3 linked regions of the Callithrix jacchus genome follow. The protein of the gene in region 1 interacts with the protein of each later gene in a biochemical or structural test. Links are inferred from orthologs where the notes say so. Each region holds a gene or a part of one and is shown on either strand. Other genes may lie near its edges.

Region 1 (5,753 bases):
TTGTTGGCCAGGCTGGAGTGCAGTGACGTGGTCACGGCTCACTGCATCCTCAACTTCCTGGGTGCAAGTGGTCCTTCTGCCTAAGCCTCCCAAGTAGCTGGGACTACAGGCGTGTACCACTGGCTATTTTTTTGTATTTTGTGTTTGGGTAGAGATGGGATTTTGTCATGATGCCCTTAAACTCCCCAGATCAAGCAATCTGTCCGCCTCAGCCTCCTAAAATGCCTAGGTTACAGCCATGAGCCACCGCACCCAGCTCTCTAATGACTTCAAAATTTTTTAATTTTTTGAGATGGAGTCTCGCTCTGTCATCCAGGCTAAAGTGCAGTGGCACGATCTTGGCTCACTGCAACTTCTGCCTCCCAGGCTCAAGCGATTCTCCTGCCTTAGCCTCCCAAGTAGCTGGGATTACAGGTGCCTGCCACCATGTCCAGCTAATTTTTGTATTATTAGTAGAGACAGGTTTTGCCATGTTGGCCAGGCTGATTTCTAACTCCTGACCTCACGTGATCCACCCGCCTTGGCTTCCTATGTTGACTTACATGTGAGGCTGGTGCTTCTACAGAGAAGACAAACTTACCACACTCTCTCCACTCACTTCTACAGAGAAGACAAACTTACCACACTCTCTCCACTCAGCGTATTTCCCTTTCCTAACTAATTTCCTCTGTGTTCTGCCACTGTGTGGTGGAGAGGGCAGGCCGTCAAACACTGAGGGTGAGTTAACTTCTTAACTAGGTGACTCTTAATCTCTTTGAATCTTGGTTTCATCATCTATAAGATAGACATAATACTTCCCTGCCTGTCCCAGGGGCTATGAAGATCAAATGAGACTTTGAATGGAGGTCAGATCAAGTTTTTAAAACTGCAAAGCCTCTTTCTGGGGCGAGGGAGCTGTTGTTAATACTTATCTCTCATTCCACCTCTCTGATGAAGTTGGAGTTCAAGGGAAGCAGCCCACATCTACACACACTTTCAAATTAATTTTATAATTTAAGATGAGACTCACAGATAGGTGTTTTTTTTTTTAGGCACTTCAGTAACTAAGAACAAATCATACAGATAGGTGTTATTAACAACGCAAGGCCTTCTGGTAGCTTCTTATTTTAAAAATAAATAGTTCTTGCTAATCAAGTGATAGGCTTTTAAAAATCATTAAAAATTTCTGCACTCTCTCTATTTCAAATTTATTTTTCTGTATCTTCCTACAGCTCTGATTCTTAGAGAGTCTCAGGGGGGCTTTTTTAGGGTCGGAGATGATTTTAGCCACAAATCTGAAGTAAACAATTGTGTTGCCTCACCTATGCACATTTCTTTTTCATTTTCAAGTCCTTTTTATGCACATTATCTCAGTCCTTTCAGCTCTGAAATTGATGGTGTTACCTTCATTTTTCAAATGAAATAGCCAGGTTTTATTTTTGGCAACCTGACTTTTAAAGCCCCGTCTCTTACTGGCCTCATAGGATGCCATATATCTCTGGTCCTGCAGGCAAGTGAGGTCATGGAGAGCAGCAGCAGCAGCAGCAATTGGGAGCCTGGTAGAAATGCAGAATCTCAGACCTACCCCAGGCCCCCTGAATCAGGTTTATCAAGACTTGCAAGTGATTCATGTGCACCTTCAAGTTTGAGAACATTGATCTGATAGGGGAATTCACATGAAGGAATTACTGACTTAATATCATCTTCTCCCAGAAAGAAAAATCTTCAGGATATTTATTCATTAAAAGAAAAAAAGAACTCTTGAAATAGAAATAATTAGTCCCTAAGAATGAGTGATGGGATTCTAGGCATCTGGCCCCTTAGAGAGCTTTCTAGTTTCCCGAATATACAAGAGCCCAACTCTTATAATCACACAAAAAGCTGATCTTGTTTGCCAAGCTGTCATAGAATGATGTTTCAGAGAGAAAAAACAAGAATAATACTATTAAGTAGTCTCTACACCTTCTTAGAATTTTGCCAATTATCCTGAAAATGTCCTTTTTTCTGACACAAGAAAATATGGCAACAAACTAAAAAGCTAAAATAATAATTTGTACATGTTTTTCTTTCACAAAATATGCAAATAAATGTTTACTATATAGATGATATCTAATCAAACAGCACTTAGAAAAATATATCAGGACTGGGTGTGGTGGCTCATACCTGTAATCACAATATTTTGGGAAGCTTAGGTGAGCAGATGGCTTGAGCCCGGGAATTCAAGACCAGTCTAGGCAACAAAATAAAACTCCATCTCCAAAAACAAAACAAAACTAATCCCCAAAATCAGCCAAGTGTAGTGGCATGTGTCTGTAATCCAGCTACTCATGAGGCTGAGTGGGGAGGATTGCTTGAGCTCGAGAAGTTGAGGTTACAGCGAGCTGTGATCACACTATTGCACTCCAGCCTGGATGACAGAGTGAGACCCCGTCTCTTAAAAACAAAGCAAAACAAAACAGAAGGAAATAAAAATGTATCAATCTGCTAACAACATTGAGTTCTATTTTTCCATATATAATTTGGCAGCCTATGATACTTTGGAGTCACTAGAGACTGTCACTTCTCTTCTCCATTTGTTTAATCATCCTTTAACTATGAAAAGACTAAAACAGTGTCTATTTAAGCAAACGTGTATGAAGTTTGTAAGTAGATTGCCTTTACAATGTTATTCTTCATTCAATCGATTTTTAAAAAATTCCCCGCAGTGGGTTCCAAGTCTACTTAATCAAATTATTAACAACCTTAGTCTTCAATTACACGTTGGCTTCACTTGGTGAGATTAGAAAAGTTTCATCAGAAACTGAATTAGTAATCCTAGAATCATATCTTGTAAGAGCTTTAAAGATGATACAATACAAATTATTCTTTTACAAATGGAGAAAATGAAGCTCAGAGAAGAAATGTGATTTGCTCAAGGTCACACTCACAGTTTGGGGGTTATTTGAGGTTTCATCTGAAAAGAAGAAACAACTTTATTTCATCATAGTTGAAAAGAAACCTGAACAAAGCCATACACATCCTGAAGTTCTGGTTTTCATGTTCAACCACATCCTTTCCACAGTGACAACCTATGAATCAAGATTTCAGCTCAGACTTTTTCCTGAATGGAATCAACTCACCTTATCAACAATCTCCTGAATTTCTGGAGTGGCGGGTTTGGCCTCAGATAAGCCTCCGGGTATCATTTTGACTGACTGCTTCTTTGCTAGGCAGAATGTTGGAACCAAAGTGAACAGGGAAGCATGGAGACTTGGGTTTTAAAAGAGGTGTTCATTAGCTCCGCCTATAAAATGCTTTATTTTCCACAGAGAGCAAAGAGGCATGGGGAAAATGAGTATGCCTCCAAGCAAATCTTCTTGCTTCCTGGACAGAATATGCTACGTGGAATTTGGAGGAAAGAGGGTTGATGGATGAACAAATGGGCAAGTACAGGAGTCAAGTCCTAACAAGATGAAACGCCCCTGCCTTCTCTTTGACAATGGTTCCATCCTGTTGCATCATCTGAACTATGAAATCTGAAGCCACAACCAGAATTTCCAAATGTTTTAAAACTTGTAGCACAATTTTTTAAAAGCAATACTTACTAATAATGTCAGAGTAGTTTAGAATTTCCTTGACTTTAGAAATAGAGCAAAAGGTTCTATCTGGAGGACATTGGTTGGATATGTGTTCTTTACTCTTATTTAAATATCTAGAAATGCTTAACATACAGAAAAACACAAAGAAGAAAATGACAAATGTCTGTATTCCTGTCACTCAGAGTTAAAACTTTGAACCTTTTTGTCATATTTACTTGCTGTCTTTTATTTTGGTAGTTATTTTTAAGAAATAAAATATTTCAGTTATGGAGGAAGCCCTGTACCCCACGCAACCTTGCTCTCCAGAGGGCAAATTGCACTGTGAGTTGATATCCTTCCAGGCCATTTTTATACTTTACTTGTTGTGTCTTTAAAATTTCTCTTAAATTGTATGCTAAACATATTCTATTTATGGTTTTTTTTCTATTCAACATGTTTTTGAGCCTTTTCATGTTGATACACAGATAGATAATCTACAGATAAATCAATCCAGTTCATTTCCTTTAACTGTGATATGCGATTCTGTGCTAGACCTAGCTATTTATTGTACCTGTCTAATTGGTCTTCGCTAGCTCATATTTTACATACTCATTTCCCTATTGATGACGATTTTGGTTGTTTCTCGTGTTTCATTCTTATAAACAATGTTGCATGTTTTCCCCTTTTGTATGTGAGGGCTTCTGCAGGCAACTTATCTAGAAGCAAAATTGCCATGTTGTGTGAATATTTATGTATATAATTTTATTCAATTTTGGGAATATATAATACATACACAGGATAAAAATGTTTGGAAGGAACCAGGCTTTACAATGTAAGGAATTATTCACTCACTTAATTCCCCAGACACCCTTCTCCTCTCCAGAGTCAACTGTTGGGACCAGCTTTTTGTGTATTCTTCAGAGATATTCTTTACACATAGAAATATAAAAATAATTGGCTACACACACATACATACACATACATGTATATAGGTTTTCTTCTATACAAATGCTATTCTACATAAACGATTATACTATTTGTTTTATTCCTAACACTATATTTTAGAGATTGTTCTATATCATGATACAGAGATTTGTTTCTTTTGTTTTTTCTGAGACAGAGTCTTGCTCTGTTACCCAGGCTGTAGTGTAGTGGTGTGATCTTGGCTCACTGCAACCTCTGCATCCTGGGTTCAGGCAATTCTCCTGCCTCAGCTTCCCAGGTAGCTGGGATTACAGGCACCTGCCACCAAGCCCGGCTAATTTTTGTATATTTTTAAGTAGACACGGGCTTTCACCATATTGCCCAAGCTGGTCTCAAGCTCCTGACCTTAGGTGATCCGCCCCCCTTGTCCTCCCAAAGTGCAGGATTACAGGTGTGAGCCACTGCGCCCAGCCGCTTGTTTCTTCGTAATGATGTTTGACAGGCACTTGGCAAATTCTTGAAGCTGGGTGAGTGTCTTATAGGCTAAACTGAGGGGCGTTACATAGGTATCTCTCCACTGAATGCCTTTACCCTGTGGTTTAAGAAGAACAGTGAACGTGGCTGACAAGGTGCTCCTTTAATAAGCCACAGGTCGTCTGAAGACTTTGGTTCAGCTTTCATAGGCCACTGGTTCTATTCATCTTCATGTGACCTCCCCAAGTCAAGTCCTTTCATATTCAGGCCCCTGACTTTTTTCAAGCCTGCAGCCCATTTTTAGTTCTTCACTTACATCCTAGTCAGGCTATCCTTACTGAATCTCCCCGGTGGTAGGGGATATGGTAAACAGCAAGTCTACTGTTCTCTTTCTAGGGTCTGTGCTCTGTACTCTCAGCTCTTTCCTACTGATTCTCAATAATTTATTTTAAAAGTAAAAATTTCCCCAGAGCAAATATTGCTTTTGTCTTTTGTATTCCTCCTATAATAATCCTAGTTCTTATCAAGGGTAGTATGGATGCCTTTGGTTGACAGAGGAAGAATTGCATGCAAGGAAGTGCAAAAGAGAAAAGCACAACAATTCCTATCCCTGTGTTCATTGTTTACTTAAGTTAATCATACAGTTGATTAAATACACATTTATATTAAAGGTACCTTTAAGATTGCTTTTTGGATTCTTTTGGTATGAATTATGCAGGTTGTGTTTATGGAGCTAGAAATCTTCACTTGTTTCATATTTCTTGTCTGTCAGTTCATCTGCCACAGGATTTATCTTTTATGTGAGTTTTCTCTTTTGTG
Region 2 (4,606 bases), on another chromosome or scaffold:
TTTCACCACAGGGTCTTTTCTCAGGGTGTGCTAGTCTCTGCTGGTGCTCACCTCTTCATCTTTATTGACCAACTGCTCTAGCCATCTGTTTTAACTTCTTCCTGGAAGCCCTCCCTGATCCCTAACAGTTCAATTCCTTGAGGTCAGGGTGTGTCTCTTCCATAGTAGTGATGACCAGCACGCAGTGGGTATTGTATATAAATTCTAGTTGTCTCAAATCTAAGCTTCAACCTGAACGAGGGATTTAGCTTGGGAACCTCCCTAAATCTTCTTGCTACCACTGGTGACTTTTATTACAAAACCCAAAGAATTTCACAGATGCCATATTTGTCATTTTAGGCCAAAAACTTTGAAATTTTAGCAACTACTCAGAAAGGGCACATGAGAATCCAGCATGGCACATGGTCCAATCCAGACAGAACTGGACAGACCCTGCTGCATGCTTTCTGAGCTGAGACTCCACTGGGCATCTGGTTTCCCTCCTCTGGGATTACGTAGTCTAGTCACTAAACAGTCTCACCTGTTCTTTCTATTTCCTTCAGTTGGAACATGAGACTTCTGAAAACACACAGGTGATGGAAGTATGGGCTGTTTAGCTAGTACAATGTGGGAAGTTTTTTTATTTAAGCAGTAATTCAGGTGTTTACAGGTAATTTGCTCTAAATGGGGGACAGATGATCATTTCTGAGCCTCTCACCTGTCTTTTGCCTTCTGACACCAGAGCACCATTTCTGAATCCCAGCCTGAAATCCTGAAGTTTATTCCTCATCCCTTGAGGACCCAAAAACAAACAGCCTTGGCAATGCACTCGTTCCTAACCCAACTCGACTGCAAAGTGTCAACAGGGTCTTCACCAGCAGTGGGATAAGATGATCCAGAAATAGGCTCTGAGACCTTTGTCCTGTAACTTGACTAAAGATGCAACCAACTTGGGTGAAATAAACACAATCACTAAGGTCTTTTTCTAGTATTAAAATCATATATATGTCTGTTCACCTTTCTAAAAAGTGAATTTTTTTCTTTATTCAAACAATTTTCCTTTGTCCTCAGAGATCATTTTCAAATTTTGCTCCAATCAACGATTGAGTCAGACTCAGACACAGCCACTGGGCAGCTGATGTGAGATCTGTACGTTTGTAATTAGAAGACCCAGAAGGTCGCCCACTCTTCCTCCTAGAGAGCCACTGGCAGCAGGTAGGGCTTACAGCCTAATTATGTTTTTTATTACACAAAAATTCAGTGCATCAAAAATAGAAAGAAGCCTTGCCACTACATTTGAAATTACATTTATTTAATCAGGTAAAAATTTACACATCCTTTTAAAAACAAAAATGCAAAGTCAGTAAGCAAATCAATAATATAAACCTATTTATAGAGTAATTAAAATAGAGGTAACATTTACCAGTGTGAAAATATCACAGAATTCAAATCACACTTGGATCTTCAATGATTCGAGTGTGTATCCATCACAGCAGGGGCTGGAAGATTGAGATGAACTCCCATGCATGCACCATCCCCAGTCAAGTCCTTCCTCATCACTGTCCATCAGCTCATACAGTGGGGTAGCTGGCTGCTGAGGCAATTCCACAGTGGTTTTTCCGGTCTTTGGCCATCTTTATGTAACCATCCATGCCCCATTTTTCACCCCAGCTGAAAAAACAGCAGGTTTTCCGTGTCAGAGAAAGAATAAAGCCCAAAGGGTTATTAACAGGAACATCCAACTTAAACACTGTGCCAGAGGCCACAGACTTAACAGAAAGAATCAAGAGAGGCCATGTTCCTGTTTATCCTTAAAAAATTATTGAGGCTGAATCTGCACATAACTTCCATCCCAGTCTCAAAACTATGACATTTCACAGAACTGCCAATCAGAGACAGGAAAGGAATAGGATGTCTTTGCAGCCAGATATGCCTCAGAATTAAGAAAATGTTCAGATTTAGATACACATTTGTACAATGGTACAAATACTATATTAATACACCCAGCATCCTTACCTTTATAATCCAACATTAACATTCTATGTTCAACTTAGAGTTCTGGGATTTCAGAAGTATGCCTAAGGGCATGTGAAACTATACAAACACTGATTGCAAATAAGTACTCTCTTTTGAATTTCAAATATAAGTATTATTGGCAATTTATACCTGTTCTTCACCAGCCAATATTTACTGTTATCTGATCCTGTTCTTTCAAATCCATAGCCAACCACCAGCACACCATGATCCATGTCTTCACTGCTACATTCTGGCTCAAAATAAATGCCTGGGATAGTAAAATGAAGGCTGGGGTGAGAAGCTGCAGAGGACCATGACAGTAACCCATCCTGTCACCCACAGGGAATGAGGCATCTCTGAATTCAGTGAAGTGACACACATTCTAGATAGTACTTAACAATTAGATCTATTGTTGTCAAGGCTAGGGATTTAGGCTCTCATCTACAACTAGCAGAAATAGAAATCAACATAAATCCTTCATATAAAGACTTTGCTAAGGGAATAAAGGACCATTCTTTGAAAGCTTGTAATTCTACTCTAGGCTATCAATCTAAAAACACAGCATAGAACACCAAAATCCTTGAATCAAAAGGCTCTTCTCGGATTTAAAAACAGAAGTAAAATCTTTGTAAAAATTACAAAAATTCGACAATCACAGAATATTTAAGTATATTAAACTACCCAGTAAATAATATAGCTGGGTATTTGTAATTTATAAAAAGTTACAAAGTACTTATATTCATGGAGATGTGTTCAACATGTCAAATGGAAACATCAGGTATAAATACTGCATGTACAGAATTAATAGCTATGATGCTAAGCACCTAAGTATCTACATTGAACTTTACAAACCAGAGTCTATCATGCTAGTATGTCATACTCTCTTTCTGCATCAATTTCTACAAAGAAAAAAATACTTACCTTCTTTATAAAACTGGAAGGACTCGTGACCTGCATCAATAGCAACAGAAATGGGCCCCACAGTTGCAACTGCCTTCATCAGGGCCTTCTCCAGCTTAGGGATGTCCACAAAGCCAGTGTCATTAGCAACAGAATACTCGGGATTGTACTTACAGGATTCTTCCTTTCAAAGATAAAGGGCAAAAAGGACTTGATTACTGCTCTCCTGGGCAACAGGAGTTAGAACCACAACACTCAGCAGTTTGCAGCTTAGGATTTCCAAGTCACCATTGTTATAAATCATCCCAGGGCGTGAAATGCTGTTAGTTAATTTGAAACTGAAAATTGGCTCCAGTCTCTTCCATGAGACCCCAGGTTTATTACCATAAGAAATTTTTCACAATAAAGAAATGTGTAGATGTAGAATGGTTTGTATACTCTTCATATTACATAGAAGCAAGAACAGTTGTCTGTTAACCATCTAATCACCGGACTGCACAAAGGCTTAATAATTTATAATGACAGTACTGACAATTTGCAGATAGATTCTACCATCTGTGAATTTTTTTTTTCCCTCTTTTTTTTTGAGACAGGGTCTCACTCTGTCACTCAGACAGGAGTGCATTTGCATAACCACCTCCCAGGCTTAAGCAATCCTCCTACCTCAGCCTAGCTGGTACCACAGATGCACATCACCCCAGACGGCTAATTTTATTATTTTTGATAGAGTCAGGGTTTTACCTTGTTGCCTAGGCTGGTCCTGAGCTCAAGCGATCTGCCCGGCTCAGCCTCCTAAAGTGCTGGGATTACAGGTGTGAGCCACCCCATCCAGCCCTAATATATTAATTCTGAAAAAGGTATCTGTTATCTCTGAAAGTGTTCCACTTTCCAGAAGCTGAGCTGGAATGATAAGATGAAGAGCTCCACTTACTGTTGCCTCATATGGATAGGATTCCTCAGAGTCCAGGCCTCCGTTCTCCTGAACATACTGGAAGGCATAATCCATTAGGCCACCATCGCAGCCCTGATTGCCTTGAGGCCCAGAGCAGTCTACCAGATTCTGTTCACTCAGTGAGACAAGTTTCCCAGTTTTCCGGAACATCTGTCCTTCAAGAGCACCAGTCGCGCTAAAAGCCCAACAAGAACCACACTGACCCTAAAGAGGAAATTTAAAAAGCTGTCATTTGCAAAAACAAATAGTAAGACTTTACAGCTCACATATCTGAATACTCTTAAAAAGTGAACTGCACATCGCTTTAAAGTCTACCAAAACAAAGATGTCAATCGCTTCTTGGCTTTCCTGGGAAGATGGGAGGTCTGAACCTAACACTGTCTCACCTGATTCTTCACAGGAGTCACGTAGCCTTTCTCTCTCCAATCCACAGATCTGGGGGCCTCATGAAACAGAGGTTCCTGGAACACCTTCCCGTTCCTGGGCTTACGGTTTTGAAAGCCATTCATCACCTGCCTGAATTCTTCATTGGTCTTCAAGGAAAAGTAAACAAAATGTTGCAGAGCAAGAGATTACTTTGGTACAAAAGGGAGGAGGGGAAGCACAGGAGTTCAGCAGTCCACAGCACACTCACCATGTCTCCAAAGGCGTTCATGGCCATTGTGAAGCTGTGTTTCCCTTGGTTGTATTCATGATTGTGCAGTTCAATCATCTTCATGTTCTTCTCCCACACTGCTCTCCTCCATTCTTCTTCATTCT
Region 3 (5,032 bases), on another chromosome or scaffold:
TGTTTTCCTTGAAAAAACAGGCATGAGCCTATAATCCTAGCACTTTGGGAGGCAGAGGCAGGTGGATCACTTGAAATCAGGAATTCAAGACCAGCCTGGCTAACATGGCAAAACCCCGTCTCTACTAAAAATACAAAATTTAGCCAGGTGTGGTGGCAGGTGCCAGCTATGCAGGAGGATCGCCTGAACTCAGGAGGCAGAGGTTGCAGTGAGCCAAAACTGCGCCACTGCACTCCAGCCTGGGTGACACAGTGAGACTTGGATTGCCTATCTATACTTCGATTTCCATTCTGGAGTGTGTCAAAGCAGCCTTTCTATGGGTAAACACTGAAAAGGTATTGTTACCTCCACCTGTCATGTTACTGGGGTAATCTGAGGTGTACTGAAGCACTGAGCTGTGTCCCAGACAGACACTGCAAGGCAGGTTTTTCTGACAGCCCTAAGCTGAGGTTGAAATGCCCCACAGTTCCTTCTGTCACTTCACTAGCTCCAGGCAGGGATGGAGTTGCAGGTGCGTACTCGATGGAGGTGAGGGAGGCAGTGTGAGTGGAATGATTCAACCCAATCTGGGAGCAGGTAGAACTTTATTGAGGTTATGAATATATTCTAGGAGAAGCTGGAAGAATAAGCGGTTATGAATCTGCGGCTCTGGTAACCCTTGTTAAGCATCTCTCAAGTGCCGTGATGGGCCTCACAACTGTTCCCTGCAATGTTTCTCAGAGTTTCAGAGCTTATTTGATTGAGCTTCTGATTCCTAACTTCTGGGTCACATCAGAAGCAAAACTTGAATGCTTTTGGAAAGAGCTAGCCCCATCCAGCCTCAGTAGGGAAGGGTGATACTGAGGTGTATCTTGACAGGACAGTAGAGTGACCGCTGGTTCTTCGAGATTCCTCTACTCTTGCAAGAACTGGTGTAAAACGATTCTAAACCAGGCCTATGCAGAGCACGAGACTTCTTGACCAGCAATGCAAACCAGTGGCATACAGATTCAAAATACTGTGTACAGGCTGACTCGGCCCCTCTGGAAGGCATCTGGGGGATGTGGCCCTCCACGGGATGGCATCTTGGTTATGTGAGATCACCAAGATACCAGGCCTGTTTCATGAGAATTCTCAGGTCACTGCTGGATTTGTGGCTAATAAAAAATAGAGGCCAGGCACGGTGGCTCACCCTGTAATCCCAGCACTTTGGGAAGCTGAGATGGGTGGACCAGCTTGAGGCCAGGAGTTTGAAATTGGCCTGGCCAACATGGTCAAACCTTGTATATACTTAAAAATATAAAAATTAGTTTGGCATGGTGGTGGGTACCTGTAATCCCAGCTACTCGGGAGTTTGAAGCAGGAGAATAGCTAGAACCTAGGCGGTGCAGGTTTCAGTTAGCTGAATTTGCACCACTGCACTCCATCGCCGATGACAAAGTGAGATTCTGTCTCAAAAAAAAAAAAAAAACCACCACCACAGCTCTGTAGTTAGTTCTTAAGGGCAAGCTCATCAAGGACTTACACAGATGGTTGATGGGGATGCAGTGGGAAGTTAAGCTGAGGTCCCAAGAATCCTGAGGGCATGCAGTCCCTGGGTGTGATTCTCTGCAGGGCTGAGGATGGCAGTGACAAATGACCTCTGAGATGCCATCAGAGCCGACTTTGAGTTGAAGGACAAACCTTTTATTGGCACAGGCATTCCTTAACTTGACAGCGTGAAGCAGGAATTTTTGAAAAACAGTAAAAGCTGGTTTCTCCTACACTAGTTTCATGGTGGTAGTAGAGATCAGGGTCGGAAGCAAGTCACAGCCACTAGGTTTCGTTCTGAGCCATGCTGTTAGGAGGCAATCTGTAAACTAGCACGGCCTCCCACTGTTGCACTCCTTTATCCGCGTGACCAGCAGTGTGCACGAAAAAGAAAACTATTAAAAAAGAATCATGCTGAGGCCAAGATCAGAGTTTCTGACACTGCAAACCTCGACAGATGCAGGGGCCCTGGGAGAATGTGGCTTCTCCACAGGGCTCCAAACACCATCTGTCCTCTGATCTTGGAGCAAATGTAGAAAGCTACTTGCTTAGAGGTACTGCTGAGGGGGGAACTTGAATCCTGATAGGAACTCTGCTTTCTATTCCTGAGCCTCCGTCTTGCTCCTGGAGATGGATGGATCAGGGATGGGGCAGCAGGCACTCCCTACAGCACTAGTCATGGGGAAAGGAGCTCCGTGCTGGCAGCAGTGGCTCACGTGGCTTAACTGTCTACACTGCAGCCATCAGTCCACTGAGCAGGCTCGGAGGTAGCCGGGAGTCTCCTTGGAAAACAGCTCTGATGGTTGATATGAGGTTTGGCCAGTCCAGTTCTTTAGGCCCTGTATCTTACAGGGACGCAAAGATTAAGACATTTCTACCCCCATCCCTGACTCTGTGCAGGGAAAACTACCCCAGGACAGGACCACAGCAGATTAGATATTTCTCCAGTACTGATCGGTGCGTGGAATTCCAGCCACCACTTCTGATTCGATTCCACAGTGATCCTGTCCTCTGAGGATTTTAAAGAAGCCTGGGAATAAAAAAAGGTGCTTTTAAAATGTGACAAGGGTCGGTATATTCAGACTCATCCCTAAAAAAGCTGGGAGTAAGTCTCTAACCCCCGACAGCTCCTGCTGTTTGCTCAGTAGCGCGGCCCTCACACCATGGGGCACACCTCCGCCCGCATCACCCTTCCCATCCTGGCCTCTGGCATTTAGAAGGAGCTCACAGCCTGGCCTAGGTCCACAGTTTGAGGCTGTGCAGCAGGTAGAACAGAGAAAGCCAAGATGGCCACTGCGTGTGGCTCCCAGTTCCCCACCACTCACCGTTGTCACCCCAGTCAGTGTTCCAGGAGTTGCCAACCAGCCAGTAGGGCGTGCCATTCTCCACGCCCCAGCCCAGGATGCGGATGGCGTGGCCGCCCATCATCTCGCCAGTGACATGCTGGTATACTCCTGAGTTGGGAAGAACCGGTCAGAAGTGAGACCCGGCCACTGCCCCGTGCCCCACAGCACCCCTCCGGGCAGGAGAAACTAAGGGCTTGTCAAAAGGGTTACATGGCTTAAAGAGTTTTAAGGCCGGGTGCAGAGGGTCATGCCTGTAATCCCAGCACTTTGGGAGGCTGAGGCGGGTGGATCAGGAGTTCTAGACCAGCCTGACCAACATGGTGAAACGCTGTCTCTACTAAAAATCAAAAATTAGCTGGGCATGGTGGTGCCCACCTGTAGTCCCAGCTACTCAAGAGGCAGAGGTTGCAATGAGCTGAGATCATACCACTGCACCCCAGCCTGGGCGCTAAGTTTTAAAATAGCTGCTCTGGGTACACCCTGGAGAGGTGACAGAGGAGAAAAGGGAGGGCTGGTGGTGGCCAATATTAGATGGGAAAGAGGCCAGCTAAGATGCTCAGCGCTGCCCAACCAGGTTCGCCCCAGCAGGGAAATCACTGTCAAATAGAAACGCATTTTTTAACAATATGGGCGAGGACTGTGCTAAGAACCACCATCTTTAGTCATTTTTTTCTTGCCAGAATCATTTTCCTTTGTCAAACTGTTTTATAAGAGCTGAGAGCTCTGGAGTTTCCAATCTAGCAAAATATTAATGAGACTCAGCAAAGACTGCTTCTGCAGCAAGATATTTGTTTGAGATGGAGTCCTGCTCTGTTGCCCAGGCTGGGGTGCAGTGGCCTGATTTCAGTTCACTGTAACCTCCGCCTCCTGGGTTCAAGCAATTCCCCAGCCTTAGCCACCTGAGTAGTGACTAGCTGGGACTACAGGTGCACACCACCATGCCTAGCTCATTTTTTGTATTTTAGTAGAGATGGGGTTTCACCATGTTGGCCGGGATGGTCTTGATCTCACGACCTCATGATCTGCCCATCTCAGCCACCCAAAGTGTGGGGTTACAGGCACGACCCACCGTGCCCAGCCTACTGGAGGAGAGATTTCTAAGACAGTACTTGGGGGTAAAGACTATCCAGTTTCCTTCGTTCGAGTCCCTATGGCACTGCCCAGGGCAAGGTCCTCCCTGTGTGTTCATGCACGAGGGTGACACATGATCTACACCTTTGCAAAGACACAGATGAATAAAGTGTGTCACCCAGTGCAGACAAGGAAGACCTGCCCTTATAAGGAGAACATGCTGGGAAAGAATGGAACGCCATGACGGCAAGGGCAGGTGTGGCCAGCCGCCAGCGAGGGGACACCTCCACAGAGAAGACATGTGAGCTGGCTCCTAAGGGATGGGAAAGAACTAGCCAAGATGCCTCCAGAATTCTCTGTGCACAACACAGATGAAAGGCAAGTGGCACAGAAGGTAGACAGAATTGTAAGGGCCCCACACAGCCCTCTCCCCAGCCCCTCACCTGCCTGCCCCGATCAAGTCCTACTGGCCTACCTGAACCCACCTCCCCTGACCCCCACCCACCGCTGCTGTCGGACATCAGCACGCACCTGACTTGTACAGCAGGAAGTCTGCGTACACAGAGAAGGCTCCCTCCACAGGGCCGTTTTTGTAGATCTCGGCCATGATGTCCCTCTCATTGTTTGAGACGCTGTAGGAATCGTATCCTGGAAAATGGACCGAGCCAGGGGTTGGGGAGCGCAGTGACAGTGCCTCCTGCCGCGCCACTCACTGATTCCTGGGGGGCCTCTAGGGGAAGACTGCATCAAAGGGACCTGCCCACCCAGGGGGTTCATTGCAGGCTCCCCAGAGGAAGTAAGGAAGAGGCTAAGGCTGGAAGCTCAGGAGGAAGAGGGGAGCCGTGAGCACGAGGCCCCAGAACAGGCCAAGGTACCCAGGACTCCAGGACATGCCTTCTCTTATAAAATGACAGCTTTGGTCCCTTCCAGGTTGGGAGGGTGGAGGCTGAGTTCACAGTGGATCAGGCAGAAGGTGCACTGTGTGCTGCTGAATCACCCCCGCTGCCGTCTCCATCCTAGGGCTCTTGGGCCCTGCCCTCTTCCCCGCAGCGGCTCCCAGGCTGTTCCCGCCCCTTACCGTAGTGCTTGTCCTGCTTGTAGGTTGG

The links. The genes of interacting proteins can lie anywhere in the genome.
Region 2: the proteins of CSTA (region 1) and CTSL form a complex in vitro, tested with the Homo sapiens proteins (2 studies listed by BioGRID). The link is inferred for Callithrix jacchus from reciprocal best matches to the Homo sapiens genes CSTA and CTSL.
Region 3: the proteins of CSTA (region 1) and CTSB form a complex in vitro, tested with the Homo sapiens proteins (3 studies listed by BioGRID and IntAct, with this or other methods). The link is inferred for Callithrix jacchus from reciprocal best matches to the Homo sapiens genes CSTA and CTSB.

Annotation. Positions count from the first base shown.
Region 1 is NC_133516.1:80,680,851-80,686,603, forward strand, and holds the start of CSTA (cystatin-A), read right to left. Parts: upstream 3,214-5,753; 5' UTR 3,165-3,213; coding exon 3,099-3,164; intron 1-3,098. UniProt on the Homo sapiens protein: This is an intracellular thiol proteinase inhibitor. Has an important role in desmosome-mediated cell-cell adhesion in the lower levels of the epidermis.
Region 2 is NC_133502.1:75,731,542-75,736,147, forward strand, and holds the end of CTSL (procathepsin L), read right to left. Parts: intron 4,605-4,606; coding exon 4,482-4,604; intron 4,381-4,481; coding exon 4,234-4,380; intron 4,052-4,233; coding exon 3,827-4,051; intron 3,080-3,826; coding exon 2,917-3,079; intron 2,264-2,916; coding exon 2,146-2,263; intron 1,651-2,145; coding exon 1,551-1,650; 3' UTR 1,271-1,550; downstream 1-1,270. UniProt on the Homo sapiens protein: Thiol protease important for the overall degradation of proteins in lysosomes. Plays a critical for normal cellular functions such as general protein turnover, antigen processing and bone remodeling.
Region 3 is NC_133514.1:10,220,471-10,225,502, reverse strand, and holds the end of CTSB (cathepsin B), read right to left. Parts: coding exon 5,005-5,032; intron 4,575-5,004; coding exon 4,458-4,574; intron 2,964-4,457; coding exon 2,835-2,963; intron 2,540-2,834; coding exon 2,442-2,539; 3' UTR 568-2,441; downstream 1-567. UniProt on the Homo sapiens protein: Thiol protease which is believed to participate in intracellular degradation and turnover of proteins. Cleaves matrix extracellular phosphoglycoprotein MEPE. Involved in the solubilization of cross-linked TG/thyroglobulin in the thyroid follicle lumen.